Linked DNA regions of Notamacropus eugenii. The protein of the gene in region 3 purifies or fractionates together with the protein of the main gene of each other region. This does not show direct contact. Links are inferred from orthologs where the notes say so. Each region holds a gene or a part of one and is shown on either strand. Other genes may lie near its edges. The genes, in order: EKC/KEOPS complex subunit LAGE3-like, NUP43, TP53RK and GON7.

Region 1 (7,900 bases), about 69 Mb from region 3:
TTTTATAGAATTGATGGTTATTTCACATCTCTTTGCTATGTGTAGCCTCACTTCTTCTCATTTAACCATAGTGGCTAAGAAGGAAATTTCATAATAAGGTCAGGTTCTCCCTGAAGTTGCTACATCTGCTACTGCTACTCTTTTGAGTTTTCCCTGTTCAAGATGGTGAGCCTTGTAGTTTGCAGAATCTCAGGGAGCCCCTGAGATGGGACATATCTCTCACAGACCTATCCTGGGTCATGTAGTCACAAGACATGCATCTTCAGTCACAAGAAAAGCAATGTTATTGTTTCTGCCATGGGTCTGGGGAGGAGGTAGCTGGTGTCATGCTATTGGACTTACTGCCAAGGACCCCAGGAAGAAGAAGACCCAAAGTTACTAGAATCATAAAGCATTCTCTTGTCACCTGAATGTTGGGGAAAGGTGTCCCTTTACAAATTAACTCTTTCACCATGTTACAATACATGTCAGAAGCATAGCACTCATTATGGCTAGCATTTATAGAGCACATACTATGAGCCCAGCACTGGGGCTAAAAGCTTTACAAATATTATAGCTCATTTGCTCCTCACAGCCTAACAGTATACAAAGGATTCCTGCCTAAATACATATGGTGAAGTGAGGATGATAATCTAAGTGACTGTTTACAAGAGTGAAAAGAAATACCAAGAAGACTGAGTTTTTAAATTCAAGCTACTCTCTGAAGCTAGGAAACCAGTGAATGGAAGGGAAGATGCAAAAAAAAAGATGGCAAAAACCAGATGTCCAACTCTCCAGGTAGAGATTTGTTAGGCCAAAGTGATCCCATTTTGTGACTGTAAGTTTTCACCTCTCAACACTGTAAAACATCCCACTTAAGAGACAGCAGCACATGTCCTGATCTAATCACAGGTTAACTGGTGAATTCTGCTTCCCCTCTTGTGCTATGTAAAAATTGTATAAAAGCCAAAAAGCTGTGAACCTCTGGGTCCTTGTGCTGACTGAGAACCTTGGACTTGATTTGCTTGTACAACCTCATGCCTGACTACAACATTATCCAAATTAGTTTTTAAAACAAATTTTCTCTCCAGTATGAATTATTTGATGTTGAGTAAATAGTATATTCCATTTAAAGTCTTCCCAATGTTCATTAACTAGGTATTAGGATTTTTTTCCAATATGAATCATCCAGCATTAAATTTTCCTTCCAAAGGTTGATCTATGCCTGAAAGCTTTTTATATTCACGAATTACAATTGAAGTGTTTTTCTCTAGTACAAGGAATTTTATGTTGCATAAGATGTGATCTTTTTTTAAAAAAATTATTTTTAATTTTCAACTCTCATTTTTACAAGATTTTGAGTTCTAAAATTTCCCCCTTTCTCTCTTCCTCCCTCTCCAAGACAGCATGCAATGTGATATAGGCTATACATGTATTATTAAACATATTTATTATGTCTAAACATATTTCCACATTAGTCATGTTGTGAAAAAAGAATAAGAACAAAAGGGAAAAACCATGAGAAAGAAAAAACAAAACAACAATAGAAAGAGAAAACAGTATGCTTTGATCTACATTCAGATTCCACATTTCTTTCTCTGGATGTGGATAACATTTTCCATAAGATGTGATCTTACCCTAAAAATCTACTTACATTGCTTAAATTTAAAGATTTTTCTCCCATATCAATTCTCTGGGTATTTTTGAAGATTTTCCAACAATTCATTGTAATAAATGATTTTCTCTTCAATATGAGTTCTTTGGTGATGAGTAAACTGTGTTTAAGGGATAGTCTATAACAAACTTGATTACTGAAATGTGACTGAATAGTGATATGTTAAATTAACTGTAAAAGTCCAGCCAGCCAGACGATCCTTTTTTTCAAGTTCAAATGAATCCACTGAGTGAATTAGAAAGGCAGCAATAGGCCATAAATATTCAGAATAACAGACAACTCTCATGGTGACTTTTATCAATCAGTTCATTGAGGCTGGAAACAAACAGACAAAAACCCTGCTTCTGATTTGATAAGTAAAAGTTGCATGGAACTTTAAGAAAAGTTAACTAAAAGAAGCCATGTTGAGCTGAGAAAGTGTAAACATAGAGGTATCTATCACATTCTACAATTATGGTTTCTCTCTCGTATTAGAACTGTGATGTTTCATAAGGTCAGAGCTTGGTCTTGACTTCATATCAAATTCATTGCCTTTGTGAACTCTCTTCCCTGAGAGGACTTCCTTATAAGTGACTACTTGCCCCAATTTTGCCTTACTAGCTTTTGCTTTACTAAGTGGCCCTGGTGTTCCATTCCTCTCCCAACGTAGACTTTCGGACAGTGCCATAGCCACGTTCTGCTGCCAATTCAAGACCGTCCCTTCATACTTAAGTTAATGTTGTAATCTAGGACTCAAGCCTAGTCATAAGATTCTCCTCATGGTGGAAGGATTACTCAATGCTCTGTGCCTTCTTGAAGTGCAAAGATCATGGGAAATTGGGAGAGAACAGCTCCTGCTTCTGGTTTTGATTTTGAAAGAAGATATGCAGTTCCAGACTCTTTCTAGACGAGGTCCCCTGGTAGAAGACAGATTCTGAAAAAAAGCTGAAATGTCTCCTAAGTGGTCTCTATCCCTTCATCTTCCACTTTTTCTAACATATTGATGCCTATTCTTACTGAAAAATTACTTTTATTATGTTACCTACCTCCAATGGCTCTTGATGTCCCACAAATGCCTTAGGTTGGCATTTTAGGTCTTTCACAGCTTAACCCCATTTGCCTCAGTTTCCTCATCTATAAAATAAACTGGAGGAGAAAATGGCAAACCACTCCAGTATTTTTGCCAAGAAAACCCCAAAAGGGATCATCAAGAGTCAGATACAACTGGATAACAACAAGAATTTTACCAGAATTTGAACCAAATCTAATACAGTAGAATTTCACAGGGATAAACGTAAAATTGTGCATATGTGCTTTTAAAAAAATCAGCAGTACAAATAGAAAAGATGTGGCTAGACAATAATTCATGTGAATAAGACCTAGACACTCCAGTTGAGCCAGCACTACTAAATGGCTGGTGGGAAAAAAAATGCAATATTAGGCAGCATTGATAGAAACTTAGCATCCAATAGTTCTTTGGCTATCAGAACCCACGAAATAAAGGAAAATACAAAGTGGATCTTGATCTTGTGCAGTCTTCAGTGATAGTAAGAGAAAAGCAGACAAAGTGGCTAATAATTATCCAGTTTTTAGAATTAAGAATATTAGAGTTTTGAAATTACAAGCACTAGTTTTACTGTTGGTCCTATAAATGTGAGGTGGTTGTCCCATGAATGTATAAACATGCTACAGTAGGAACCGAATGGTATTTGTCATTCAAAGTTCAGGTAGAACTTTTTTTTTTTATTCTGGCTATAAATGAAACTACAAGACAGGAGCTAAAAGCATGATGTATAGATTTTTCTTGAAGAGGTCAGTAAAGGAGTTGGCCAGGTTAAAGTTTCTTGTATTATCATAGGCCCAAAGATAATAAAAGGAGGGTAACAAGCACTTATATAGCATGCACTACATTCCAGGTACTATGTTAGCTAAATACTTTATAAATGTTATCTCATTCGTTGTTCAGTTGTTTTTCATTTGTGTCTGACTTTTCAAGACCCCATTTAGGGTTTTTCTTGGGAAATCCTATAGTGGTTTGCTATTTCCTTCTCCAGGTCATCTTACAGATGAGGAAACTGAGGTAAAAAGGAATAAGTGATTTGCCCAGGTTCACATAGCAGGTTGTGTCTGTGGTCAAATTTCAACTCAGGAAAGAGTCTTTCAGACTCCAAGCTTGGCACTCTGTCCACTCTATCCTCCTAGCTGCCCCCATGCAAAGTAGGTGTCGTCATTATTCCCATTTTACAATTGAGGAAACTGAGGTCAACAAAAATTATGTGACTTTCCCAGGGTCACACAGCTAGTAAGTGTCTAAGGCTGTATTTGAATTCAGGTCCTCCTGATTTCAGGTTCAGCACTCTTTCCACTGAGCTACCCAGCTGTCTCTGAATAAGAGTATAATTTCATGAGCCACTTGTTCATCTTGTATTACATAAACATTTAGAAGAAGTTGACTATAAAAGTAATTGCAGCTCGTGTACCATTTGTGGTAGAGTACGAGGTGGCAAGAAAATTCTACAAAGGACTCAATAAGACTCTTCAAATTAAATTAACATAAACTTCAATAACAATGACTTCCATACAAAGGTGGAAATAATAAAAAAGAATGACAAAATATTTTGGAAAACATAATTGAAGAGTCAGAAACAAGAAAATCCAAGCACTTTTAGATCATACTGAAATCTCATTCCTATATAATAGCTAATAATAGCTGTTAATATTTATATAGCATTTTAAGAGTTGCAAAAGGCATTTATATATATTATCTCACTTGCTCCTAACAAAAACCTGGAGATAGGCACTATTATCTCCATCTTACAGATGGGAAAATGACTCTGAGAGAAGTTAGTGATTTGCCAAGAGTCACATAGCTAGTAAGTGTTTGAGGTAGAACATGACCTGAGGTCTTCCTGATCCCAAGGGTAGTGCACTATCTACTAGCCCATCTATCATTCGTATCTCATGAATATTCTCTTTGAGAATAGAGTTAGATTGTGCTAAACAGCATAAACACTGAATATCATCACAAAAATGAAATTTATCATAGTCTAACAGAAAGAAATGGTTAATGTGGGGGTCAAATCTGAATAAACTGTATTGTTAGAATTAAAATCAAAATTAATACCCAAATAGAAGGGTAAAAATAGCTGTGGTGGATGATTAATACAATTCCAACCTGACCTATTTAAATTAACCATTGAGAATGAAAAATTGAGAATGGATAAAAGAACGGATATCTACTTAGTTGCTTGTTATTTTTTTTTATTCTTGAATAATTTTATTTTTTCCCAATTACATATAAAAACAATTTTTAACATTCATTTTTTTTAAAATTTTGAGTTCCAGATTCTCTCCCTCCCATCCCTTCTCTCTCCTCTCCTCTCTTCTTCCTAAGAAAATAGGCGATTTTTTATAGGTTATACACGTGCGATGATTGTTATTTCCTAAGGAAGTTTAAGTGATTTAAATCCATCGCCATCCCGAGAAAACTAAGAGCTGAGAAAGTAACTCACTCCTCCAATTCTGGACCTACTTACCAAGCAATTGATAGAAACATGGATCTGGAATACAAAATCACTTATGAGCAAGGGAGGGGAGAAATTTTAACAATGGGTGTCTAGGACAGAGAATGTGTTAGATGCTTCTTCTCTGGATCAAAAGAGCTTTTCACACTTTAAAGAGTTATATAAATGATTTGTTATTATTATCCTCATCAGTCACGGCCAGGAAATTTCACAGATGCAGAGACCACCAATAAAGGAATAGGGAAAGGGACCGAGGTCGTCACGGAAACTACGCTTGAGCAGAGCGACTCGAAGAACTACGATTCCCAGAATCCTCTGAGCTGTAACCCGACCTGTCCCCAAAGGCGGTTTCCCAGCGGCCTCCGCGGCTCAGCCGGTTTCTTGGGAGCTCTGACCTCCGGTTTGCAGGGGTCACGTGAGGAGTGAGTTGGTCCTCGGGAGGCTCTGGTGGACACGCGGCGGGGTCCCCGCCCCGACGGTATGCTAAGAGGGTGTGAGCTGTATTGTGGGAGAGATGGGGAGCTTGTGAGAGCGTATGCGTGTGCGTATGCGCCTGCGCTTCTTGTGAGTCCGAACGGCCCTGTCGTGTGCGGTTGCATGTCTTCCCGTGCGTGGTCATGTTCTGTCGAGGCGGGTGTGAGTTTGTAAGCTAGTGCCCCGAGTTGTGTCTTTTGATAGTTGTGTGATCACGTTCTGTGTGTGTTTGTGGGCTAATGTCCACATCGTGAGAATTGCGGTGAGGTCGGCGTGAGTCCCTCGCGGAGCGGGAGCCGAGGCTTGGGGGAGGCTGCCTTGGCGGAGCCCCTCCCCCTCCCTCCGCTGCGGAGCCCCTCCCCCACCCCCTCTCCCGCTGCGGAGCCCGGCTGTTAAGCGCCCATGCTCTGGCATCATGGTGTTCCAGCATGGCTTGTGAACGTGCGCGTGTGTGTGTGTGTGTCTCTGGATCTTTCTTTAGGGCCTTTGCTCCAGACTGATGTAATTGCCCCGTTGTTGTTTATGTTGCTGCTGCTGCTGTGGTTCAGTCCTTCAGCCTCATCCAGCTCTCCCTTGGGGTTTTCTTGGCAAAGATTCTGGAATGGTTTTCCATTTCCTCCCCCGGATGGTAAAGGCAAACAGATTAAGTCACTTGCCTAGGGTCACACAGAAAGTAAGTGAGGCTGGATTTGAACTCAGGCCTTCCAACCAGCGCTGCGTCAGAGCCACCTAGCTGCCTCCAAACTTGCCTTAAGCCGGGATATAAGAGGGAGAGTTCCTTGCTGGGAAGGCATATCGTAGCCCCAGGGAGAAAGACCTGACTAAAGTGACTCTGCCTCTTAGCCACAGGTTTTGGCTTCAGTGGAGCAGCAGAGATGAAGGTGGTGGAAAAAGCCTGAATCCAACCTAGAAGGAGACACAGCCTTGATTTAAGAGTTTTCCAGAGAATCCCAAGAAGTGACACATCTTGGGGCTAAAGTTGTCCCACCCTTCTTACCTGGGGAAGATCAGGGAAGTCATCCAACCTGTGAGGAGAGTGAACCTGGAGGATCAGCCTCACCTGCTTGGGGAGAGAGGTGAGAAGTTACTGAGGTATTTGGGGAGGAGGGAAAATATCGTCCCTTTAGAGGGACAACATGCCTTACATACATTGTTTGATTCTCCTAACCACACTGTGAAGTTCACACTCTAGGTATCATCCCCATTTTATGAATGTGGAAATTGAAGCCCAGAGAGTTTCAGTGAGGTCACAAAGTTGCTTATGTATAGGAGGCATATAATCAAATCCAGGTCTTACCCAAAGTCTCCTAAGTCATACATCATCTCTACTTTAGGGAAAGTGCCCCTCAGTAGGTAATAATAAGGAAAGGAGTTTTCCTTGTCATAAGGGTATCAATAGATTTACTAAATGAATGAGACTGTCAGTTTGGGCTTCTGATTTTCCACATCCTTGATGCAGTTCTCCCTGTGCTGTAAGATATCCTTTAGAATAGAGAGGTTCTTAACCTTGTGAACTTGTTTTTAAATGTATCTTGGTAATTATATTTTGACATAATTGATTTCCATTGTATTCCTCTTGTGTTTTAAGCATTTAAAAATATTATTCTGAGAAGGGGATCCAAAAAAGTATTTTACATAAAAAAGATTAAGAATCCCTGCTCCATTAATCAGAGATGACCTTCTCCCATTGGTTGACAGCCTAGTTACCCCATCCCTTTTCCAAGCCTTTCTCCCTAAAGGCCCCTGACATTCTTCACCTGAAATATCTGAGTGCATGAACTTACCTCAAAGTACTTTCATGTCTTTATTCTTATTGTGTCTTCACAAAAGTCACTTGGACAGATAGGCAGGCATTTTTATCTTCATTTTGCAAAAAAAGAACTTGTTTCTAAGGGATTAAGTAGTTGCTTAGAGTCTTACAGTAGTCAGTTATGTAGCCAAGACTAGAAGCAGATTTGAATTTGGACATTTGGCTTCTCTACACAGTGAAGTTCCATCTAGATACCTTTATCCAAATTGAACTCCTCTGGAAACTGATCCTGTCCTTGTAGATGCTCCATAGGGTATTCTCATCCCTTGCCTCCTTACCTCCCTCTGTGTCCTTTACACTCACATTTATTTAAAATGGATGGTCTTGACGGGAAGTCCTTTGACTTCATAGGTGCAAGGTTAGAGACCACTGGGTTGTCAAGGAGGACCTTACTTACCCTGAATAATGGATAGAGGTTTGGATAATTAAAACAGAGATTGTGGAAGCTAGCCAAACTTC
Region 2 (7,486 bases), on a different chromosome or scaffold from region 3:
TGATTTACTATCAGTAAATTTTGATTTGTATAACTATTTTATATACTGACATACCTAGGATCACATAAAAATTTCTCAGGCAAAAAGGGGTCACTAGCAGAAAAAGTTTAAGAAGCCCTGGGGTAGAGGACTGAGGGCAAGAAGCAGTATAAAATGTAACCAACCTGACTGTGAGAGAAAAGGGCCAAAGTCAACCATTTGTAATGTTGTCTATGACCTTATTTGAATGAGGAAAGTGACCAAGGAACTAGTATATGCTTGGAGGGAATATCCAATGCACTAAGGGCCTTCCTCTAGGTCTTTTTATGTATAGAATGAAGAAGTATTTTTTATTAAGCACTTCCTATGTGCCAAGCACTATGCTAAACACTGGGGATTCAAATGAATAAACAAAGCAGTCCCTGCTCTCAAGGATTTCACAATTTTCCCTAAATAGGGAAAGTAAATGAGTTTTCAGTTGTAGGGCAGATGGAAAGGTGCCAAGGTATTTAAGGTGTAGCAACAGGGCAGATGACAAAGCCTAGAAACCCATAAGGTGAATTGGCAGGTCAGACTGGCAATGCCTAGGGTAAGACTGATGGTAAGGCCCCATCTTAACTGAAAGGATGGTAGCAGGTAACTCCCTACTTATCCAAGCAGTGTGAGCTTTATATGTCCCCAACCAACAACTGGTGGGAAAGGGTAGAGTAGGCCTAAGGATTAAATAGACCTTTAATTACCTCAGGAAGGGTATGGGAATGGCAGTAGAGTTAATAGGGCACCACCATCCTTCCAGTCACCCAAGTTCTCAACTTTAGTATCATCCTTACTTTTACTGACGTCAAATTTACAATTAGTTGTCAGATCTAATTTCAATTATTACAACTTTTTTTCAGATATATCCTCTTCCTTTCAATCACACAGCTATCACTTTCATTCAGACTTTCATCATTTCTTAGCTGGATTATAGCAATAGTTTAGTTTCCTAGTTCAAAATCTGCTTCAAGTATTTCCCCTGTTAAATCCATAATCCATCCTCCACACAGCTGCCAAAAGTGATTTTCCTTAAAGCTCAAGTCTGACTATATCACCCTTCACCCCTGCCTCTATAAACTTTAGCAGTTCTTTATTCTCTCTAGGACCAAATATAACCTCCAAATATACCTGGAATTTAAAGTTTTTCACAATCTGGTCTTTTTCTACCTTTCTAGGCTTTTTATACATTATTCCCCTTGATGCATTTTATGATTTAGCCAATTGAGTTACTTGCTATTTTTTCATATCACAATTCATCTCTTTATCTCAGTGCCTTTGCAATGACTGTTCCCCAAACCAGGAAATACTTTTCCTTCTTACCTCTACTGCTTAGGATCCCTGGCTTCCTTCAAGATTAGTCTCAAACACCACTGAAATGGATTACAATTTATCTGTTCCTTCTTATCCTATGTTACTTATCCATGTCTCTACATAAATCTCCTATAGAGGATCTACCCAACACATCAGAAATAGGCCAAGAATTCTTAACCTGGGGTCCTTTCTGGAATCAAGCAATATACATAGTGGTTGTATGTTCTCTAAACATCTCAGTCAATTGTATGGCTTAAAAGATGAAGTCTCTGATAGAAAATCTTACAGGAACACTACTGAGGTCTTTCGATACTAAATCCATTGTTCCATCCAGTAACAGCTCAGTTGGGCTCTTTATTTCGGCTACAATAGCCCTGTCACTCACATTCTCATGGTGTGTTAAACAAAACTATAATTACTTTACATTCAGTACATGATTGCATTTGATAATTTAGATAAAAAGCTTTCATAGAGACATCAGAATTGGAACTACAGAGTTGTAAATACACTCAGACTATCTAATCCAACCTGTACCTGAAACAGAATCCCTTCTCATTTTCAACATACACTCAACCAGCTTTTGCTTGGAGACCTCCAGGGAGAGGGAATCTCCTAGAGGTAGCCCTTTCTACTTTTACATAGCTCTAATTGTTGGGAGAATTTTTCTTATATCAAATCTAAATTTGCCTGTCTTGCATCTTCTACCCATTACTGCAAGTCTGCCCTTCAGAGCCAAGGAGAACAAATTTAAACTCTCTCCCTCATGATGGCCCTTCAAATACTTGAAGACTGCTTATCATGGTCCCTCTGTCTTTTCCTCTCTAGGTTAACCCTCTCCACAGTTTTTTCACTTATTCTGGCTGCTTTCCTCTGGATACTCTCCATCTTATCAATGTCCACTCTAAAATGTGGCACCCAGAACTAAATACAATACTTCAAATGTAGTCTGACCAGCGTAGAGTACAGTGAGACTGTGTGTTTGTTCATTGCCAAAGAAGACCATGCCATCAGAGAAATGATGACGTGACTTGTACTTGACTTTGCTTTGAGTGAGGGAGAGCTGTGCAGGTCACCAGCCTTACTTCTTCTCCAGAGTCATCTGAATCCAGTGACCAGATATTCATCAGGATGACTGGAGATGACCCAGGATGAGGCAATTGGGGTTAAGTGACTTGCCCAAGGTCACACAGCTAGTGAGTGTCAAGTGTCTGAGGTGAGATTTGAACTCAGGTCCTCCTGACTCCTGCAGTGGTGCTCTATCTACTGCACCACTTATCTGTATTACTTTCCTAATTCTGGATCCCATGGCACAGTATGAAACTTGAGACTGCATCTGCTTTCTTGGCAGCCACATCATTATTGACTCTTACTGAGCCTGCAGAATACAAAACCTCCCATATCTCTTGCAGATGGACTGATGCCTAATTATACCCCTCCTGTCTTTTACTTGTGAAACTGATTTTTTTTTAAAAGATCAAGTGTTTTTACATTTATCGTATTAAATTCCATTTATTAGTTTTAATTCAGTGTTCTAAACTGTCAAGATCACTCTGATTGCTGACTATTGATCTTGTTAGCTATCTTTCTAACTTTCTGCCATCTGCAGATTATACAATAAACATGCCATCTACCTCTTTATCCAACTCAGTGATAAAAATGTTAAAAGGCATAGGACTAAGCACTTTCCAAGCTGACACTGAACTATCAATAACTCCTTTTTTGGTCCAACAATTAAACCAGTTCCTAATCCACTTACCTTATATAATTACCTCATCCTTCTACCTTGTCCGGAAGATTAGCATAAGAATCTTTGTTGTACCATTTTGCAGAAATCTAGATAAAGTATATTCACAGCGTTCCTCTGATCTAGCAATCTGTTTCATTAATGTAGACTGAATGATGAATCCAAACTGGCTTTTTGTGATCTCTGCTTTCTTTTCTATGTCAACTACCACATTTTTGGAACTGTTTCACAGGAGTTGAAGTCACTTAGGCAGCTAGGTGGTGAAATAAATGGATAGAGCGCTGTACCTGGAATGTTTAACTCCCCGCTCAGGGGCTTACTTACTAGCTGTGTCCCCCTGGGCAAGTCAATTAATCTTTGCCTGCCTCAGTTTCCTCAGCTGTAAAATGGAAAGAGTAATGGTGCCTACCTCCGAGGGTTGTTGTTAGGATGGAGATGATATCTGCCAAGTCTTTTGTAAACCTTAAAGCCCTACGCTAGGTATAAAGTCAAGGGTGCTACTTTCTTGGCAAAGATTCCATCCTTTTCCTTTCCTTTTTGTCCTCCAGTCCTGCAGTGCTTGTTTCTAGCCTGCAAAGGCTGTGGACTGCCTCAGCAGGCACCCCCCCAGTCTTTTCAGTGCCCTGATGTGGTTCCTCTGGTTGTGATGCCCTAAGGGAGTGAGGGCAGTTTAGTCTTGACATCTCCTCACTCAGCGTGGGACACAAGACTGGATCTCTTCTGCTCCTTACAGGATGCCTGGAAGGCAGTCTGACCGCGAAGCTTAGAGGAGCAGGCGGGGAGGGCCCTGAAGGCCTCCTACCGGAGCTGTGCTTCTCTGGCAGGTAACACAACGCCGCAGAAGGGTGAGTTCATGAAATGAACCGCGGGGGAGCTTTTCCTCCAGTTTTGTTTGTTTGTTTATTTATGCAGGTGAACAGCAAAGTCTCATAGCACGGAAAAAACAAAAAATTAGAAAGACGTCATTTGGGGATTTGCTTTAAGTGGGTATTTAGGAAACACCCAATCACTCCAGGATTTTAACAACGATCGTGTCCTAATTAAAATGTACGTGAAACGTTACAATGACAGCTTGGGGGAAGGGGAGGGGACGGGGAGGGGACGGGGAGCGCTTCCTTAGCTTCACAAAGTTGACGACAGGCAACGAGGAATCTGCTAGAAAGCTGAAGGGGAGAGCAGCGGAGAACCAACCGAAGGGCAGCCCCAGGACCTTCAGCTACACAGTCTTCCATCCCAAACCCTCAGGGCTTCCGGCATCCCACCCCCTCCCAGAAATCGAAAGCCTTTCGGAGCCTACCGAAGAAGTTTGTCTTTCCTCGCTCGCCGTCTCCCGGTGCTTTCTCTTAGCCAATCAGGATGCCGGGCAGGTGGTCAAAGCAGACCGGAAGAGGCGGGCCCAGGGTCTTTTCTCGGCCGCCGTCTCCCGGTGTCTTCTTCTAGCCAATCAGGATGCCGGGAAGGTGGGCAAAGCAGGCCGGAAGAGGCGGGCGCAGGGATTGCGCGCGCGGTAGAGTTGCGGCCTCTCAGTCATGGAGGAGATCTTTGCCAAGTTCGTGTCCCAGAAGATCAGCAAGACCCGGTGGCGGCCGGTGCCGCTCGGGAGTCTGCAGCCTGCCGAGACCTTCGCCACCGGCTCTTGGGACAACGAGGTATCCGCCTCTTCCTTGTCTCGTGGCTGCCAGGTTCCCGCAAATCGCGCGCTCCCCTTTCCCATCCTGCCGCATCTTCTTGGGCTTTCTTGGCCTTCTCCCCCACGCACGCGGAGCAACCCACGAGCTTCGCGCTCGTTCTGAAAGGACTCCCCCCGCCCCCCGACTCGGGTCATAGACGTCGGAGCCAGGAGGGATGTTAGGTACCATCCATTCCAATGCCGCCCTCTTTAACTGAGGCTCAGAGAGGTTAGGCTTCCTGCCCAGGTCACACAGTAGGAGGTTGAAACCCAGCTTCCCCGATTTAATTGCTTTTTTCCTATCTATAATATTTACTAGCAGTGTAATTAATGTAATAATATAAATCCCGAGGGGGTCATTTTTCCTCTCGGGAACTAGCCAGCTCCGCTGGCCCCTCAGGGTTCTTCCTCCAGATAACAGATTGTCTGAGTGTTACCAGGAGGATTCGGAGACCCAAATAATTCGGGCAAAGTCACGCAGGCAGAGAAGCATTAGAAGACACCTGTTACCCCTAGAAGTCAACACGCATTTATTAAGTACTCACTGTGTGCCAGATTTCTGTACTAAGTACTAGGAATATTTTTTCTTAAAGCTTCAGTCTCTTCCCTCTGAGATTTCTTACGATTTGTCTTGCTTTTAAAAAGTGGTCTGCCTACCATCATCCTCGTTAGAATGTTAGCTTCTTGTGGCCAAGGACTGAGGCTTTTTTTTTCTTTTTTAAACATCATTTCCCAATTGACTGGCTCCCCTTAGTTTCCAGTTTTTGGCTACCTTGGAAATACCGGCTATAAATATTTTTGTACGTAAGACTCATAGTGCTATCCCTGTGTAAAAAGGTATACACAATTTAATAACTCTTTGGGCATTAAATTATATTCTTGAATGGCTGGACCAGTTTATAGCTCCGTCAATGGAGTCTCAGTGTGTTTTAATAACTTTTTTATGCACTTAATCTGTTTCTTATAATTATTTTTCTGCATGCGTGATCTCAAATATAAATCTGGAAAAAGATGCTTAATGGTCTTCTTAAATGAATGATAACCCCCTTATAAATTCCAAAAATTTCATGCCTCCATGATAATAGTTGTCCTCTTAGTATCAGTGACTGAGACAATACATAATAAGCTAGTGGTGCCCATATATAATATTACTGGACCTGTTGAAATAGTTATTGGCCCCATTCCTCCTGTTTCTCCTAACATTCCTACAGACTGGAAACTACTTGAGTGGTTTAAACTGTTACCAAATAATTGATCATCCAAAAGTAAAACATGGAATATTTGAAGTGAACGAAGATTGTCATTTTATAAAATGGACTTAATCTGTCATAACATAAAAATGATACTAATTTACAGGAAAACAGTGTTTCACTCTGGTGTATTGGAGATTTTGGTAATTTGAGCACCGAAGGAGGGTTTGAAGGAGATCATCAGTTATTATGTGACATCAAACATCATGGTGATGTAATGGACTTGCAGGTAACCTAGACATTTTAAGACTTAAAATACTATAGAATATTATTTCTCTAAATATATATTCATATGGCCCAGAGTTAATCTATTGTTCACTCTTCTGAGATTGAGAATAGCTTAAGAAAGCCCAAATTTATATAAATATCCATTTATCATAATTAATATTTTTGTCTGTGCAGTAACTTTTTAAAGTGCTTTCGTTACTTTGCTCTTACTGATAAGGAAAGGCAATGTGTAATAGTTTTGAACTGGAATGAGCAACAGAAGACTTTGGGTTGTCATACCATATAAGATTTTAGCCTCTATAAGCCTTATTCTCCTCTTAAAGTAGTACTTGCCATGCCTACTTTACAGAGTGCTAAGGAAAGCGTTTTATAAACTGTAAAGTACCATGTGGGAAGCGTGAAGGCTCTGTGGATGGAGAGCTGGCTTTAAAGTTGGAAAGACCAGTTTCAAATCTTGTCTCCAAGACAGTGAATTACAAACTAGCAGCAGCTCTGTGTTGCTGATTTGCATGTGTAAAAATTTCCATGCTGAGTTTCCTTCACTGATGACATAGGTTCAGATTTATCCCCCTCTCCTCCCCTCCAAAAACCACTTTAAATAATGAATTATTTATAATTTTGTTAATTTCTTTGAGCTTCAATTTGTTTGTTTTTCAATCATTTAGTCCTGTCTTACTCTTTGTGACCTCATGGACCATACTGTCCATGGGGTTTTCTTGGCAAAGATGCTGAAGTAGTCTGCCATTTTCTTTTCTAGTGGATTAAGGCAAACAGAACTTTAGTGACTTGCCCATGGTCACACTGGTAGTGTTTGAGGATGGATTTCAATTCAGGTCTTCCTTACTCCAAGCCCAGTGCTCTATCCACCGAGCCACATAGCTAGCTACCTAAACTTCAGTTTACCTCTCTATAAATTGGAAATAACATCAGCCTGACCTTTCTCACTGATTTGTGAGAATAAAATGAAATAATATATTTGAAAGTCCATCATAAAAAGTAAAGTGTTATACAAATTATTATTATCTTTTATGTTTAAAATTGTGGTTATGTTTATCATTAAGTAAAATTGTACAATTGTTTACTAATATTTTGAATCTGTAACGAGCAGGATTTTTCTACTGCTTAGTTTTTGGACCAGGAAAGAATTGTAGCTGCTTCATCAACAGGAAGTGTAACAATTTTTCTTCACCATCCAAATAATCAGGTAAATAGCATTTTATACAAAAATTGAATTTTTAAAATTATTCTTAATGTTTATAGGTTAATATG
Region 3 (6,655 bases):
AGTGGACTGGTTGTGTTCCAGGGTTTGAAGTGGGCAAGGGATGATAAAAGCATGAAACGTGATGAAGCATGTAAAACCACCTCTGGAGAGTGATGATGCCCACGAGACACAGAAACACCTATTTGTGGACACCGTATAGATTGGTTTTGCTTGTCTATGCTTATTTGTTACAAGGATTTTTTTCTCTTTCTCTCTTTTTTTAATTTGAGGGAGTAAAGTTAGGTGAGGGGGTTTAGCAGGACTGATACAAAAATAGGAGGGGCATTGTAACATTTTTTAAAATCCACAGAATAGAAAGAAGTTCATTCAGAAAGAAGGATAGATAAGCAGAACAGTTTCGAACGTAACAATTGAATTACATACTTTTGAAAAAAGTAATGTGAAATGGAGATTTATGATTTCATCGAGATCCCCTTTTTTATGTTCTGCTGTGTGTACAAAAAGGCTCCTTTGGGGGTATTTAAGTTCAGAATATAAAAAATTAAAAATAAAATCTCAACACACGTTTCGGTAACCTCCCTGGGAATTTTATTTGGAAATGAATTGTGTGGTACTACCACAGAATCTCCTCCTACCCCACCATGGACCGCTTCCTTCCTCTCAGCCGGACCTCATCTAACTTTTTTAGCACAGGGCCTGACTTTTTGGACTCTGACGAATAGCTTTTTAGAAGGTCCTGGTACAAGCTCTCCGTGTTGGGATGCGTGCTAAGAAAGGCCTTTTCTAGGACGTACAGGTCTACACCTTTATCCTCAGCAAGGGCAGAAATAAAACTGAGGCCAAAGTCTATGAGCACCAGGCTCAGCTGTTCAGCAGGCTTTTTCAGGAGCATGTTTGAGGTGGTGAGATCTCCATGAATAACATCTTCATCGTGCATGTGTGCCAGAACCTTCCCCATCTTTCTGGCTAAGAGGGGGAGGTTTTCAGCATCTGTTTCAGTCCCCTGAATGGACTGAATATAGTCCCTGACAGTCAAGGACTCTTCAATATCTTCCAGGTATAAGCAATTGGAGGCATAGTCTACAAAATAGACCACTGGGGCTAATATCCCTGCAGGAGAGACAAAAAACGAAAAGGGAGTTTGTATTATTTTTAATAACTTGAAAAAGTGTTTATTGAACATGTTTGTAAAGGTCGCAGAGTTTTCTTATCGTGCCAAATCATTTCAGCAAAAGTAACAAAACTAGAAGGGCTGGGGTGGCATCTCATCTAAACTTGCTATCTTAAAGAGTTCCCGCAGTCACTGTCCAGGAAACTGACTGATCTTTTGCCAGGTGTAAAGTGTTCCCCTCCCCCCTTCCCTTCCCTCCCCTGCGCACGCGCGCGCACGCGCACACGCGCTTACCGGCTCGGCGGCAGCGCAGCAGGGCCCGAGCCTCCTGCACCGTACGCCGCCGGCTCAGCCGCGTGTCCAGGGCCGGGTGCCGATAGCGCTTCGGGAAGCGCTCCTTGACCACCGCTGCGCGGCCCAGGAAGCGGCCGCGGTACACGCGCGCCTCTGCCCCCTGCTTCACCAGCTCCAGGCCCCGCAGGAAGTCGCTGCTCCGCTCCCGTTCCCGTTCCAGCTTCTGCTCTTGTTCCTGGTCCGCGGCCAAGTCCGCGGTCTCCGCCGCAGCCTTTGCCGTCTCCCTCCCAGTCTCAGCGGCGGCCGCCATCTTGCCCGCCTCTCAACGACCACTCGGAATTCTTCGGCTCTTTTCGGAAGCCCTCGGTGGTTGGTCCTCCTCTTCGGAACTCTTCGGCTTTTCCCGGAAGCTCCGCCCCCTCCTCTTCGGAACTTTCAACCCGCCTATAGATCGGGAGTTGAGAGGGTTCTCGGAGTCCAAGCCCTTCACTTGTTTTTATTAGCGCTTGCCCTCTCCATGGGTGGCAGAGGGCGTAGAGGGAGAGAAAGAATTGTAAACCCAAATTTTTTTAAAATAAATGTTAAAAAGTAATTTTTAAAAAGTTCAGTGACTTGCCTAGGGTCTCACCGCCACGTCGTCTCCTGCCTCTCTGTAGCTGCCTGGTGTCTGGCTCTTATCGAGTGCTTGTGCTTGGTAGTGCATCCGGGGATTCACACTCATCCCCTGGGCCGCCAACTCCAGCGCGCCTCCAGCGGGTGGGCGGGTGGATGTTCCCACAACTGAATCTCCGACCTTGGAAGGTGGGACTGTTTCATTTTGGGTTTGTGTCCCACACCTAGCACATCAACTGACACTTAGTATTCGATAAACACTTGATCATTTGAATTGAATGAGTTGACGTGATTGTCCCTTTGTTCTTACTCTGAGATGTCTCTTTAATAAAATGAATTCTTTACTTTGTGGTGAGTGCTGGTTGCCACCATCTGTGGTGACTGGTTGATGAAGTCAATAGCCAGACTAACATGGTTGGCCTTTAAAAGGGAGGAGAGGGAGAGGGAGGGAAAGAAAGAATGGGGAGGGGAAGGGAGGAGTGAGGGGCAAGTGAAGAGAGAGAGGTAGGGGAGAGAGGGAGAAAGAACAGGGGCTACATTTGGATTTAGTTCTTTGGAGACAGGCAGTCCTTTCAGGGAACCACAGCCTCAGTAAAGGCAGTGAGGAATCAGTGGTGCATAGCAAAGGAGTTGATGGGCCAAACAGTGAGCTGCAAGAAAACTAGACAGAGAAGATGGCCAGTGGCAGTGATGAAAGACTTCCGGACCAAACTTCCTATAGCCAGAAGAGGAGTTCCTGGACAAAGTGGAAGCTGAATATAGGAGTAAATCTAGATCTTGCTCTTTGGTGGTACAAGGAGTTGTCCGAATAGAGTTCTGTAGTTTGGCAGATGAAAAGGAAAAGCTTCTTCTAAGTGTTTACTTAGTGTTTACAAAGTGCTACCTGCTCTCTAGGAGTTCACTTTCTAATTGAGGGAGACAATACACAAACGACATCTTGTGTATTTAAGGGATCTCAGAGGCCATTGCTGAAGTCTGAACCCCTCGTTTTTCAGAAAAGGAAACTTATGCCTAGAAGTTTAAGTGACTTGTGTAAGGCTATCTATCTAGTGAATGCTTGACATGGGATTTGAACATAATTTGACTCTTCCATAAACCTTGCCTCACAACTTTCTATTTAACCCTAAGCACTTTCTACTTTGGGGACACGTGGGGGAGGGACACCCCAGGGTGGTAGTAAAATTCAGGGGAAATATTGTAAGTCTCTGGAAGGTGAGCTCAGTTGAAAGTAGGTGACATGAATTTGTGGTGGACTCAATTTTCAGATTAGTCAGATTCCTCCGTTAGTGTTCAGTAGCTTAGTGGAGAATAAGTCCTTCCTAAAATCCCACCTCCTGCTGGAAGCCTTTCCAGATCCCCCTTAATTCTACTGCTCTCCCTTTGGTGATTATTTCAGATTTATCTAGTGTATATTTTGATTGTACAGAGTCAATTACATGTTGTCTGCCCCATTAGACCATCCTTGAGAGCAGGGATGGTCTTTTGCCTTTCCAGTGGTTCAGAGTGAGCATAAATAGCGTTGTTTCTGTTTTGGCCAGAAACCCTGAGGATCTTCCCCTCCCAGATTGAATTTTTTTTTGTTTGAATGAGGTAAAGAGGCCATTCTCTGCCTCATTTCTTATTAAACCTTAATCCCTGTGGGCTTTGCATAGTCAAAGTAAGACCTGTTAAAGACTTTGGCTTGAAAAGGCCACTGCATCCTGACCTCTAGATCCATATCTGGCCATTGAATGCAAATGGCTCTGGAGGTGAAAGTGAGGCTGGTGACCTTCCTGTAGGAGGTGGGATTTGGGGTAGAACTTGAAGGAAGACAGAGAAACCAAGAAGGAGAGCATTCTGAGCATGAAAAACAACTAGTGAAAATGCCTGGAGTCAGGAGATTATTTGAGGAATCGAAAAAAGGCCAGTGTCACTGCAGAGTACCTGAGGGGACTGGGGAGGGGGGTAGGAATGGGGGAAGGTTGTAAAGTGTAAGAAGAATAGGAAAGTTGAGGCGGGAATAGGTTATGAAAGGTTTTAGAAGCCAAACGGAGCATTTTATATTTGATCCTGGGGTTGATAGGGAGCCACTGGAGTTTGTTGAGTAGGGGATAACAGGGTCAGACCTGTGCTTTTGGAAGATTACTTTGACAGCGAAGTAGAGGATGGATAGAAATTGGGGGAGACTTGAGACAGACTCACAAGCAGGCTACTCTTGCAATGGTCCAGGGCTGAAGTGGTTAGGGCTTGTACTGAGAGGCAGTGTCAGAGGAGAGAATGGGGTGTATGGGAGAGATGTTTTAAAGGTAAAATCAACAAGCCTTGACAAGAGATTGGAGATGGAGGGTTAGGAGTGAGAAAGAGTAAATAGCTGAAGATGAGAGACTAAGCTAAGACTAGGAGGCTGTGGTAGAAGGAAAGACAGAACAGGACACTATGGTCAGAGAAAGGAATTTCATAGTTCAAGTTCATAACAAGGAGTGATGGTAAGATATTTCTGTGATCAACTTAAGTGGAATGAAAATAAGTTCATAGGAGTTAAGGAGACAGGTGAAGTGGGAGACCAGAGTTCTTGAGGAGACATTGTTGGGAATATTGAAGCCCACTCCTCCACCTCACTTCCACCCCCCAAGTATGGGAGGAATCAAAGTGGAGGAAGAGTTGTCGGTCAGGCTTAGAACTCTAGGAAATGAAGGAAAGTGACTTGGAGGCCAATAGACAACAACACTAAGGATATGGAGAAGATGCTATAAATGGATGGAGTGAATCTCAGAGTTGGAAAAGATGCTCAGTTCTGGTAGCAAATAGAATGAATGGAAACTCCTTGAGGATTTCATAATTTGGTCCTTGTGCTGCTTCTGGCACATATTAGACGTTTGACAAATTCTTGCTAATTGATTGATCAATTGATTTATAGTGGCCATAGGGAACCAGGAACACATTTGCTTCTCCTGATCAGTATGTTGGGGAACATGAGATGCAGAACAGTCAGCAGTGGAGAAGGTGACTCTCTCATATGGAGAAAACTGTATTCCCCTGAATCTAGAAAGATGGAAAGATGATGAAAAGAAGAGATAGAAGATAAAGAAAAATGCTTTGATGATTAAGTGAATTTTCCAAAGGGCACAATGGAAGAGGAAGAGCCAAGGAGGAAAGAGGCTGGGAAGTGGTAGATTGAATGCCAGAGACATCAGAGGAAGGGGGCTTTTGTCTGCTTTTAGTAAAATGATTGGATTATCTCTAAATTCCCAACTCCAGAGCTTATCCTTCTGCTGACTTCCTGCATCCACTTTTGCTCTGACTTCCCCTTCTCTGTGCTGCCCTTCTTAAAGTTCTTACCCTCATAAAATCCTAGAATTTCGGAGGTGATGACTAGAGAAGAATCTCAGAACCCTAGGAAGTCATCTAACCTTTCTTGGTCTGTTTCCTTATCCACAAAATGAAGTTATTGTTCTGCATCCAGGGCCTCTAAGAGTCCCTCCAGCTATGAATCAATGATCCTATAACTTTTAAATTAATAATAACAGCTCACATTTCCTTTATACTGTAAAAAGCACTGGACTTACAATCACCTTCCAAAGTAGGAAGTACAAGAATCCTGCTTTTACAGAGGGCCAAAGAAAGTAACATTCACTAGCTGTGGTCTGACTTAAACCCAGGTCTTCCCATTTCATGTCCAGCTCCTTAGTCCACTTGTAAGGATAGTTCTGTTCCCCCCACATCCATTCTAAAGAGCTAGAAATGAAAGTGAAAAAGAGTAGTTAGCCCCCCACTACTCCCAACCCCAGCTAATGAAGTGAGGGGTGTGATCCCACTCTGGGCAACCTAGCCTTCTACAGAAAGAAGGCCTTCTACAACAGAGCTGTCTGCAACTGCTGTCTCCATAAGGTGCAAATTCTTGATCGTTTTCTCGCTCAAAGCAATTAAAGCCTACTTCAGAGCAACTGCCCCTCCCTTGTTCAGCCTTCAAAGTGCACCACTTAATTAGCATCATTATTGGTATCATCATTATAAGCATCACCAGGGTTACCAACCCCTTCGGAACACCTGCCTAATTAAGTCCCTTTGACAGTCTGTTTTGAGTTCCATCTTAATAATAAGACTTGACAATCTAATATAATAAACAGCATCTACCATTCTCCTTATTCTATTATTTTATTCATCGTATTATCCTTCCTCTGGAGAACACCAGTTGCTCCAGTTTGTGAAGCTTTTTGGCTATGAAGCAGTTTCTCACAACAACCCAGGGAAAGGGCCAAGGGCAGGGATTATTTTACAGATGAGGAAGTTGAGGCCCAGTGATATGAGACTTATAGTCATCAACCAGTAAGTGGTAGAGTGTAGACTCAAACTCAGGGCTTTGGCCTCTCAGTCCAGTGAGCTTTCCACTATAGTCTGTCCCCATTTGCTTTTTTTTTTCTGAATTTAATTATAAAAATATATTTTGTGTTTGGCTGTCTTTTGAGTTTTTTTTACTTTACTTTCATTTCCAAACATTTCTTTCCCTCTTCCTGTAAAGAGTGTCATCCTTTGTAAGAAAAGAATAGAAAAGAAATGGAAAAAAAATCAGTTCAGCAAAGTAATCAACACCTCAACCAAATCTGACAATATGTGTGACACCAAGAGTAATGTTGTATAAACTGTCCAGAAGCCTGTCAATATAGAAATGTGTTGAGCCTGTTTTATTTAAGAGGAAGGAAACAATTATTTCCTACTGCA
Region 4 (7,578 bases), on a different chromosome or scaffold from region 3:
TTTTTTTGGTTGGCAATATACAGAAGAAACATTTTCCTTTGACAGAATAGCCAAGGTAAAAACAGATGCGTTTCCAAAATCAAGTACAAATTTTGCAAGATCTCAATATATACCAAATATTTATACCAAGATTTAGCCAAAGTTTTTTACTCCAAAACTACATTCAAGACTATGTAAAGGTTTTATCCGTTTTGCAGGTGGTCCCGATGAGTAAATTTTGTTTTGAGTGTTACTTTCTTCATCTTCAGCCTCATCGTCTTCACCTTTTAAAATAACAAATATTTGTTGTATGACAATATTCTTGAAGGACAGCTAAAAGGGGCTGTTAATGAGATCAGAGGAGATGACATACGTAAAGTACTTTTAAAATGACAAAGCATTTTATAACATAATGTTTACTTCTGAGGTAAAAAAGCACGCACATTATTACTTTTGAGTTATTAAATGTACCTCTTTTAAATTTACGAGGTAAATAATCCAGCAATGTCTCATTCTATTCCTGAATTTTAAAAATTGCTATTCTGTACAATTATGTACAATTGTACTATTTCTGCACAATTCTGACACTATTAACCTGTTGTTGATAGAGGTTGTTTTTTTTATTATTTTTGAAATAGGGTAGTGGTACTTCCCTAATGATCGATCAGCCAACAGCATGCTATTTCAAGAAGACAGGAACAGAGTTTGAAGCTAGAAACCATAGAAACTCCCCACTTGGTTCATTAGCCAAACTACCTAGTTTATACAAGGACGGAAACTATCATCTTGGTGTCAATATCATGCCCTAAAAGAGCTAACCAACCTACAGTACTATTGTTGATTTGTTTTTCAGTAGTGTCCACACACTAGTAGGGAAGAGCACCATAATCATTCCTCAAATATTTTTTAATGTATTATATGTGTGTGTGAAATAATTCTAATAATAAGTGGTAACAGCGAGCACCTAAATAGTATTATATAGACATATATGTATGTATATGTCTATATAATGTTACTTTATCCTCACAGCAACCCTGTCATATAAGGGCTGTTGTTATCCCCTTTTACAAATGAGAAAACTGAAGCTAAGAGAGGTTAAATAACTTACCCCAGGTGATATAGCAGTAAATGTCTGAGGTCTAATGACTTTAATGTCTAAACCACCTATTTGTCCCTAAGTAAATAATAATACTACTGGCAGCAGGCAAAAGAAAAATGGCCAGACAATTCAATTTGGGCACTAAGTACAACCACAAAGTGCAGTGCCTATATGACATGGGTAAGCCATTTAAGGATTGGTGCCTCAGTTTGTCCACCTATAAAACTGAGATATGCAAGATACCTCCACTTAAGTCTTTCTCTTCTGCCTCATATTGGTGTGGACAGGACCTTTATTTCTTGAAAGCTACCCTCATAGAGAACAAGCTCCGGCAAATGCTAACAAGCAGGAAAGATTTCAAATAAGGGCATTGCAAGGACCCCTTCTGAGTGGGCCAGCCTTGCTACATTCAGAGAGATTTATCACTGCATAATTTCTTTTTCCACTACAGCAACTTATAAAACTATCTACTACGGCATGGAAGGATCTGTCAACACTAACAATATTATGGATTTTTTTTTTTTAATATTTTAGTGTTGTATTGGAAAGAGCCTGGACTCAAAGTCAGAAGACTTGAGTCTGTATCCTGGCTCTGCTATTACCAGTGTCAATTTAGACATGCCACTTCTGCTCTCTAGATCCCTTCCCTAGCTGGTAAAATAAAAAGTTCCTTCCAGTTAAATCCAGTCCAGTACTTAGATGTTCTTCGAAGATACAAAGTTGCTTTACTGCCACGATACAATGTAGTACTTAGAGCATCCACACTTCACCACAGTAGATGTTCTAAGTACCGAACCTCACCCTCGTAGATGGTCAGTAAAGCAGTTTTGTTTGGTGGGAAGTACTTAGATGCTCTAAGAACCACCTTGCACCATAGCGGAAACTCTAAATACTATACTTTTCGTAGTAGATGCTCAAAAGTACTACACTATACCATAGAAGATAAAGCAGTTTTGTACAGTGGAAAGAGCAAAAGGGCAAAGGATTTGGTGTCCGAGGCGCAGGGTTTGAGTACCCTCTGCCACCTACTAGCTGTGTGCCCTTTGGCAAATAACCTTTCTGAACCTCTGCTTATACTCATCTGTAAAAAACAAAATGGGGATTCACACTTGCACTTTCCACTTCCCAGGGTTTGTCCTAAGGAAAGATTTTAAGGAAATCGGACAGCACTCTATATAAATGTTTGCAATTATTTTTCCTTTCTCATTTTTTCCAATCATCATAGCTATTTTTTCCTCCAAAGAACGGACAACACTTGAGCACTAACTTAGGCTGTGAGGCCTCAAAAGACAAAAGCAACCCGACTAGACGTAAATGCGACATTGCGGATCGGAGGATTCAGGGCTGGAAGGGCGTCTCCGACATTTTCGAGTCAGAATTCGAAGCCCATCACTGCCCCCGGACCCCGTCCTCAGAAGTCACCAACCAGGACCAAGCACCCTTCGGCCCCGGGCTCAGCCTGGCCTCGGCCTCGCCGTCCTCCCCCGCCCCGAACAAAGAGCCCCGCCCAGGACCCCCGCCCCCGCCGTTGCCAGGGGAACGGGGCCGCCGCCCGGCTCACCCTCCGAGGCCGAGGTGGAGCCTCCAGCCGCCGCCGGGTCCCGCGCCTCTCTTCCTTCCACAGTTTGAAGGAGCTCGGTCACCTGCTCCCTCATCTGCGCCAACCCCGACAGCAGTCCCTGGAAGCGGCCTGCCTCACTCGGCCCCTCACAAGTTATTCGGAGCCGCTGCTGCTTCCCATCTCGTCCCACAAACTCTCCCAGAAGCTCCATGACGGCAGTTCTTCAACTGCCCGCCACCGGAGCGACCCGGAAACGGAAGCGGCCCTTGCCGCCGCAGCAGCCACCAGAGGGAGGGGAGTGGGGCGGGGGGGGGGGGAGGGAGAGGAAAAGGGAGGGGATAGGAAACCAAAAAAAAAAAAAAAAAAAAAAAAGCCTACGCATTCGGCACCTCCCGCCTCCCCTGAACTTCCGTTTCCGCAATCGGCGCCCCCCGCGCTCCGCCTTCTCCTCCCGGCGCTCTGATTGGTTTTGGGAGTTGGAGGGGCGGGGTTCCTCCATCTCCGGCTACACCCCTCGCGCGCAGTTTTCCCGCCGCCCCCGATGTGGAGCTCCGGGCCTGCCGGCTGACAGTTGAGCATGGCGGGAGCCGAGCGGGGCGGGGGTCGGCTGTCCGAGCAGGAGCCCGTGGTGTCGTTGGTGGACGTGTTAGAGGAGGACGAAGAGCTGGAGAACGAGGCCTGCGCGGTGCTGGGCGGCAGCGACTCGGAGAAGTGCTCCTACTCGCAGGTGGGCGGGGGGCCGGGGCCGAGATTGGGGGGCTCACGGCCCGGGCCCGCGCGAGCCTCCGCTCCAGTGCCCGGGGCTCCCGTGCCCGGGGCTCAGTCCGGGCGCCTTCGGGCCCGGCCTGGGCCTGCCTCCTCTCCACGGAGGGCCACCCCGTCATTCTTTGCCCTTTCACCTCTCCTTTAGGGAGTTCCCACCCCCGTGCGGACCCGCTCTTCTCCGGGATTCCCAGCCTGCCCCGCCCTTCCCGGCCCCCAACTTCTCCCCCACCTTCCCATTCCCAGCCCGACCCCTTCACTCCTGATGTGTCTCGGCTCCCGCTCCGGAATTCTCTGCTTCCTGGTTCTCTCTTAAAGGCTCGTCTGCCTCGCAGGGTCCTCAGCCCCCCCACCCCCCGTCCTGGAGGTCAGGTAGTCCGCTAGCGTGGTCCTTGCCCTCCGAGGACGTCGCCCAGCCGCGTGGCTCTTGACCTTCTCTGCCTCCGCCGCCCAGCGCCGTGCCGGGCACGCAGTAGGCGTTTAATAAATGCTTGTTGGCCTGAGGCCAGTCTGTAAACTGCCGTGTGCAAACTGGAAAAATGCTGGCTAAAGTATGAATAATCCTGGGGAAGACTCCAGGATTAAGGGGATCAGGGAGGCTCCTTGCAGAAGGTGGGAGATGGGAGGGGATGGCCAGTGAGCGCGCACGGAGATGCCCCCGTTCTTGGTCTGTCCTCTTCCCAGCGTCGCCCCCTTCCCCTTCTTTATTCCCCGCCCCCCCCCGTTTCTGTTAGCTCCCGGAGGCTTTGCCCACCCCCCACCCATTCCCTTTCATAGATAGGGTGGCCCTGTCCCCCCCCACCTTGTCTTCTCCCCTGCCTTCCCCCCCAGTGCCCCTTTCCTCAGGACCTCTCTGCCTTATTCTTAGTGTCACTGTTTGCGAAAACCCCATTCCTTCCTTTCCTCCCCTCCTCTTGGTTCAGGCCTTTTATCCTGCCCCCCCCCCCCCCCTCTCCAAATCGCATTTCCCCGTCCTAGGGCGAGCAAGAAGGGATAGTAAGTTGTGGGCTGGCTTCTTTGGGAGGTGAGGGTCAGGGACGTCCTGTCCAGTTGCGTGGATGTGATGTAGTATTTTGTAGAAACGAGTTATTTGTAGAAGCTCTGCTTTCAACGTTAGATTAGGAACCAGAAGAGCGGATAATAGGGGAAAAGGGAGAGAAGAGAGCAGATTTGGCATTGAAGACTGCGGAAGGATGAAGGTTATAGGGGTTCCCTTTACCGGCTAGGGGTGCGTAGAAGTGCAGTAAGGACACTAGACGGAAGAATTAAAATGTGCAGAGATCCCTGTCCAGAAAGCTTAGTGGAGTGTGGAGAGAAAGGGACTTGAAGACGTTTTCTGGTGTGGACTAACATAATACAGCAGCCATTGAGAAACGTGTGAGCTGCTGCAGCATTAAATAATAATTCTCAGTATCGAGTTCTCTTTGGGATTGGAGGCGATACTCTTTACCTTAGAGGTGGTATGCTTCAGGCCTTGATCTTAATGAGAGTTTAAACCTGGTAGCCTTTTAGGAGAGAGCACCTGGGGCTGTGCTAAAACACCTCAGAGGTGATTTTTTTAAAAAGCTTGATTTGCAGCAGGTGGGTAGGCAAAAACCTGTTTGTTCTGTAAGGGAGGAAGGGGAGAAGGCATTATTCTTCCATAAAGTAAATTGTCTTTCAGATTTAAATATCTAAGTTGACCAAACATTTTCCAAGATGAAAATATGATGGTTAATTATTTTCATGTTCTCAGAAATACCAACATTGTAAAATGTTGATTAACCAGAACCCTGCTAACACTTAATTAGCTAAATTTATTTTGCTGTTTCCCATTTTTATGAAAGATTTAAGCCATAAGGCAAGTAGTATAAGCATTTTAATACAAAAAGTGTATTTTAAGATGTCTGGGGGCACAACCCCTACATCATCCACATCTATTCCTATAACCTTTTATGATCTTTCTTGATATGCAGTGATGATGAGACACTAAAAGATTTTCAGTCATCAAATATTGTTATCTATCCCAAACTATAATTATTAAGGCAAAGCAGTTCCCTAATTCATTTTAGAGTTTTAAAAGGGGTTGGAAGAATTATATTTTGGCAAAACCTTTATTGACCACAACAGCTCATTTTTTGTGTAGTTTAATTAATAAAATACCTTTCTTGAGCATTGACTTTATGTAGACATGTTTAAGACATGGTTCTTTTCTTCATGGATTTTTGAAGTTGGGAACCGAACTGGGTCGTGTGTGTGTGTGTGTGTGTTCGTGTGTTCGTCCTTCGTTGCCAAAGAAGACCATGACTTGGACTTGACTTTGTTTTGAGTGAGGGAGGGCTGTGCAGGTCACCAGCCTCACTTCTCCTCCAGAGCCATCTGAATCCAGTGACCAGATATTCAACAAGATGACTGGAGATGACCCAGGATGAGGCAGTTGGGGTTAAGTGACTTGCCCAAGATCACACAGCTAGTGAGTGTCAAGTGTCTGAGGTGAGATTTGAACTCAGGTCCTCCTGCACTGGTGCTCTATCCACTGCACCACCTAGCTGCCCAGGGGCATGTACACACACACAAAATGACTAGAAATATTAGGCAGTAAATAGTAAGTGCAAAATGAGCAAACGAGTGAATTTTAGGACTGAAGAGGGAAGGGAGAATTTCAGATTGAAGGGGTCAGAGAAAGGTTTACAGAGGACCTAGAATTTGGGCTGGACCTTGAAGAATGAATAGAATTTTAATGGTTGGGAAAGGGCTTTTTAAATGGGAAGCAATTGTAATGATTTGTGATACGACTCAAGATACAGAAGCTGGTCATTATAAAACATTTTAAAATAATAAAAGGAAAGATATGACTGAAATAGAAACAGCATAGACTATATGGTTCGAAAGGTAGGCTGGGCCCTAAATGAAAGGTGTATTAAAATTCTCAGTACATATATGGATGTCATTGTCATAGAGGTAAAGTTGAAAGGAACTTCAGAAGACATCTAGACTAAGACCTTCATTTTGTAGGTGAGGAAACTGAAGCCAGGAAAAGTAAGGTGTCATGTCCAAGGTTACATTGGTAGTGTCAGAGGCAAGATTTGAACCCAGGGCCCTGTGATCGAGAGCTTCTGCTTGTTCCACTGTACATGCTTTCTCCTTTGAACTATACCCCATTTTATGGTACTGTTGTGCTTTTAAAAAAGAGGCTTGTAAGTCGGTGTGGGAAGACCTTTACAGATGTCTATGGGTTTTGAATTAAATTTCATTTATTATGTAGATCACAAAGAGTGCTTAGTGCCAGCTGTACCACTTTTGAATGAATTTGTTTTCTTGATGATTTTCTTCTTCCTCTTTGTGCATCTGACAGGGCTCTGTAAAAAGACAAGCATTATATGCCTGCAGCACATGCACCCCAGAAGGAGAGGAACCAGCAGGAATTTGTTTAGCATGCAGTTATGAATGCCATGGAAGTCATAAATTATTTGAGCTATATACAAAAAGGTAAAGTTGTTCAGAGAGCATTAAAATATCTGGATTAGTTCTTAAATGTTAACTCCAGTCCAAAGAGGTATACTTTATATAGTCTTTGCCTTCTTAACTGTATTTCCTTTAGCCCCAATTTTTTCATTTAAAACTGATTTTATAAAGGTGTAGAAGTGATTAAAGCTGATGTATGCTAATGAAACAATGTAATCATAATTGTTTTTAATATGGATTAGTTTTTGGGAGCAGTTTTTAAAATTACAGTTAAAGAACAAATTGATTTACATTTGTTTAAATTTACATACTTGGGATCAAGGAAGTGACCCTTATCTGTAGTAATTTTACTTATTTCTGCATTCTTTTTGGCCTCTTTCTTTTCTGGGACTGTACAATTTTTTTCTTATTACTTTTGTTCAGGGATCAGGTCATAGTAACCAAGCCCACTTTAAAAAAAAAAAGAAGCATGATTGTAACCTGACTCCTGAACGTAAAAAGTAAGACATTACATTTTTTGAATAAATTGAAATTATTACCTTGCTCCTTTGTTTCAGAAATTTTCGCTGTGATTGTGGAAATAGCAAGTTTAAAAACCTGGAATGCAAATTACTTCCGGTAAGTAAGATTTATCAATCATTTAATTAATAAAATCAATTGCAATTGGATGGGTAGAAAGGAAATTTTTTTTTAATTCCCTTAGCAGTTAGCTTAATCCGCATTAGAATCCAAT

What was found.
Region 1: the proteins of TP53RK (region 3) and EKC/KEOPS complex subunit LAGE3-like purify together in Homo sapiens (affinity purification with mass spectrometry; 5 studies listed by BioGRID and IntAct, with this or other methods). This does not show direct contact. The link is inferred for Notamacropus eugenii from reciprocal best matches to the Homo sapiens genes TP53RK and LAGE3.
Region 2: the proteins of TP53RK (region 3) and NUP43 purify together in Homo sapiens (affinity purification with mass spectrometry; 3 studies listed by BioGRID and IntAct, counting the BioPlex papers as one, with this or other methods). This does not show direct contact. The link is inferred for Notamacropus eugenii from reciprocal best matches to the Homo sapiens genes TP53RK and NUP43.
Region 4: the proteins of TP53RK (region 3) and GON7 purify together in Homo sapiens (affinity purification with mass spectrometry; 5 studies listed by BioGRID and IntAct, counting the BioPlex papers as one, with this or other methods). This does not show direct contact. The link is inferred for Notamacropus eugenii from reciprocal best matches to the Homo sapiens genes TP53RK and GON7.

Annotation. Positions count from the first base shown.
Region 1 is NC_092872.1:451,136,967-451,144,866, reverse strand, and holds the start of EKC/KEOPS complex subunit LAGE3-like, read left to right. Parts: upstream 1-4,893; 5' UTR 4,894-5,635; intron 5,636-5,667; exon of another isoform or gene 5,668-5,801; intron 5,802-6,474; exon of another isoform or gene 6,475-6,480; 5' UTR 6,481-6,707; intron 6,708-7,900. UniProt on the Homo sapiens protein: Component of the EKC/KEOPS complex that is required for the formation of a threonylcarbamoyl group on adenosine at position 37 (t(6)A37) in tRNAs that read codons beginning with adenine.
Region 2 is NC_092873.1:241,801,628-241,809,113, reverse strand, and holds the start of NUP43 (nucleoporin Nup43), read left to right. Parts: upstream 1-4,469; 5' UTR 4,470-4,599; coding exon 4,600-4,719; intron 4,720-6,095; coding exon 6,096-6,218; intron 6,219-7,343; coding exon 7,344-7,421; intron 7,422-7,486. UniProt on the Homo sapiens protein: Component of the Nup107-160 subcomplex of the nuclear pore complex (NPC). The Nup107-160 subcomplex is required for the assembly of a functional NPC.
Region 3 is NC_092872.1:520,307,185-520,313,839, reverse strand, and holds TP53RK (EKC/KEOPS complex subunit TP53RK), read right to left. Parts: upstream 2,302-6,655; 5' UTR 1,656-2,301; coding exon 1,346-1,655; intron 1,051-1,345; coding exon 572-1,050; 3' UTR 512-571; downstream 1-511.
Region 4 is NC_092878.1:36,898,736-36,906,313, reverse strand, and holds the start of GON7 (EKC/KEOPS complex subunit GON7), read right to left. Parts: upstream 3,018-7,578; 5' UTR 2,851-3,017; coding exon 2,640-2,850; intron 264-2,639; coding exon 133-263; 3' UTR 1-132. Other genes in the region: putative E3 ubiquitin-protein ligase UBR7, read left to right, coding at 3,217-3,366, 6,736-6,869, 7,403-7,463. UniProt on the Homo sapiens protein: Component of the EKC/KEOPS complex that is required for the formation of a threonylcarbamoyl group on adenosine at position 37 (t(6)A37) in tRNAs that read codons beginning with adenine.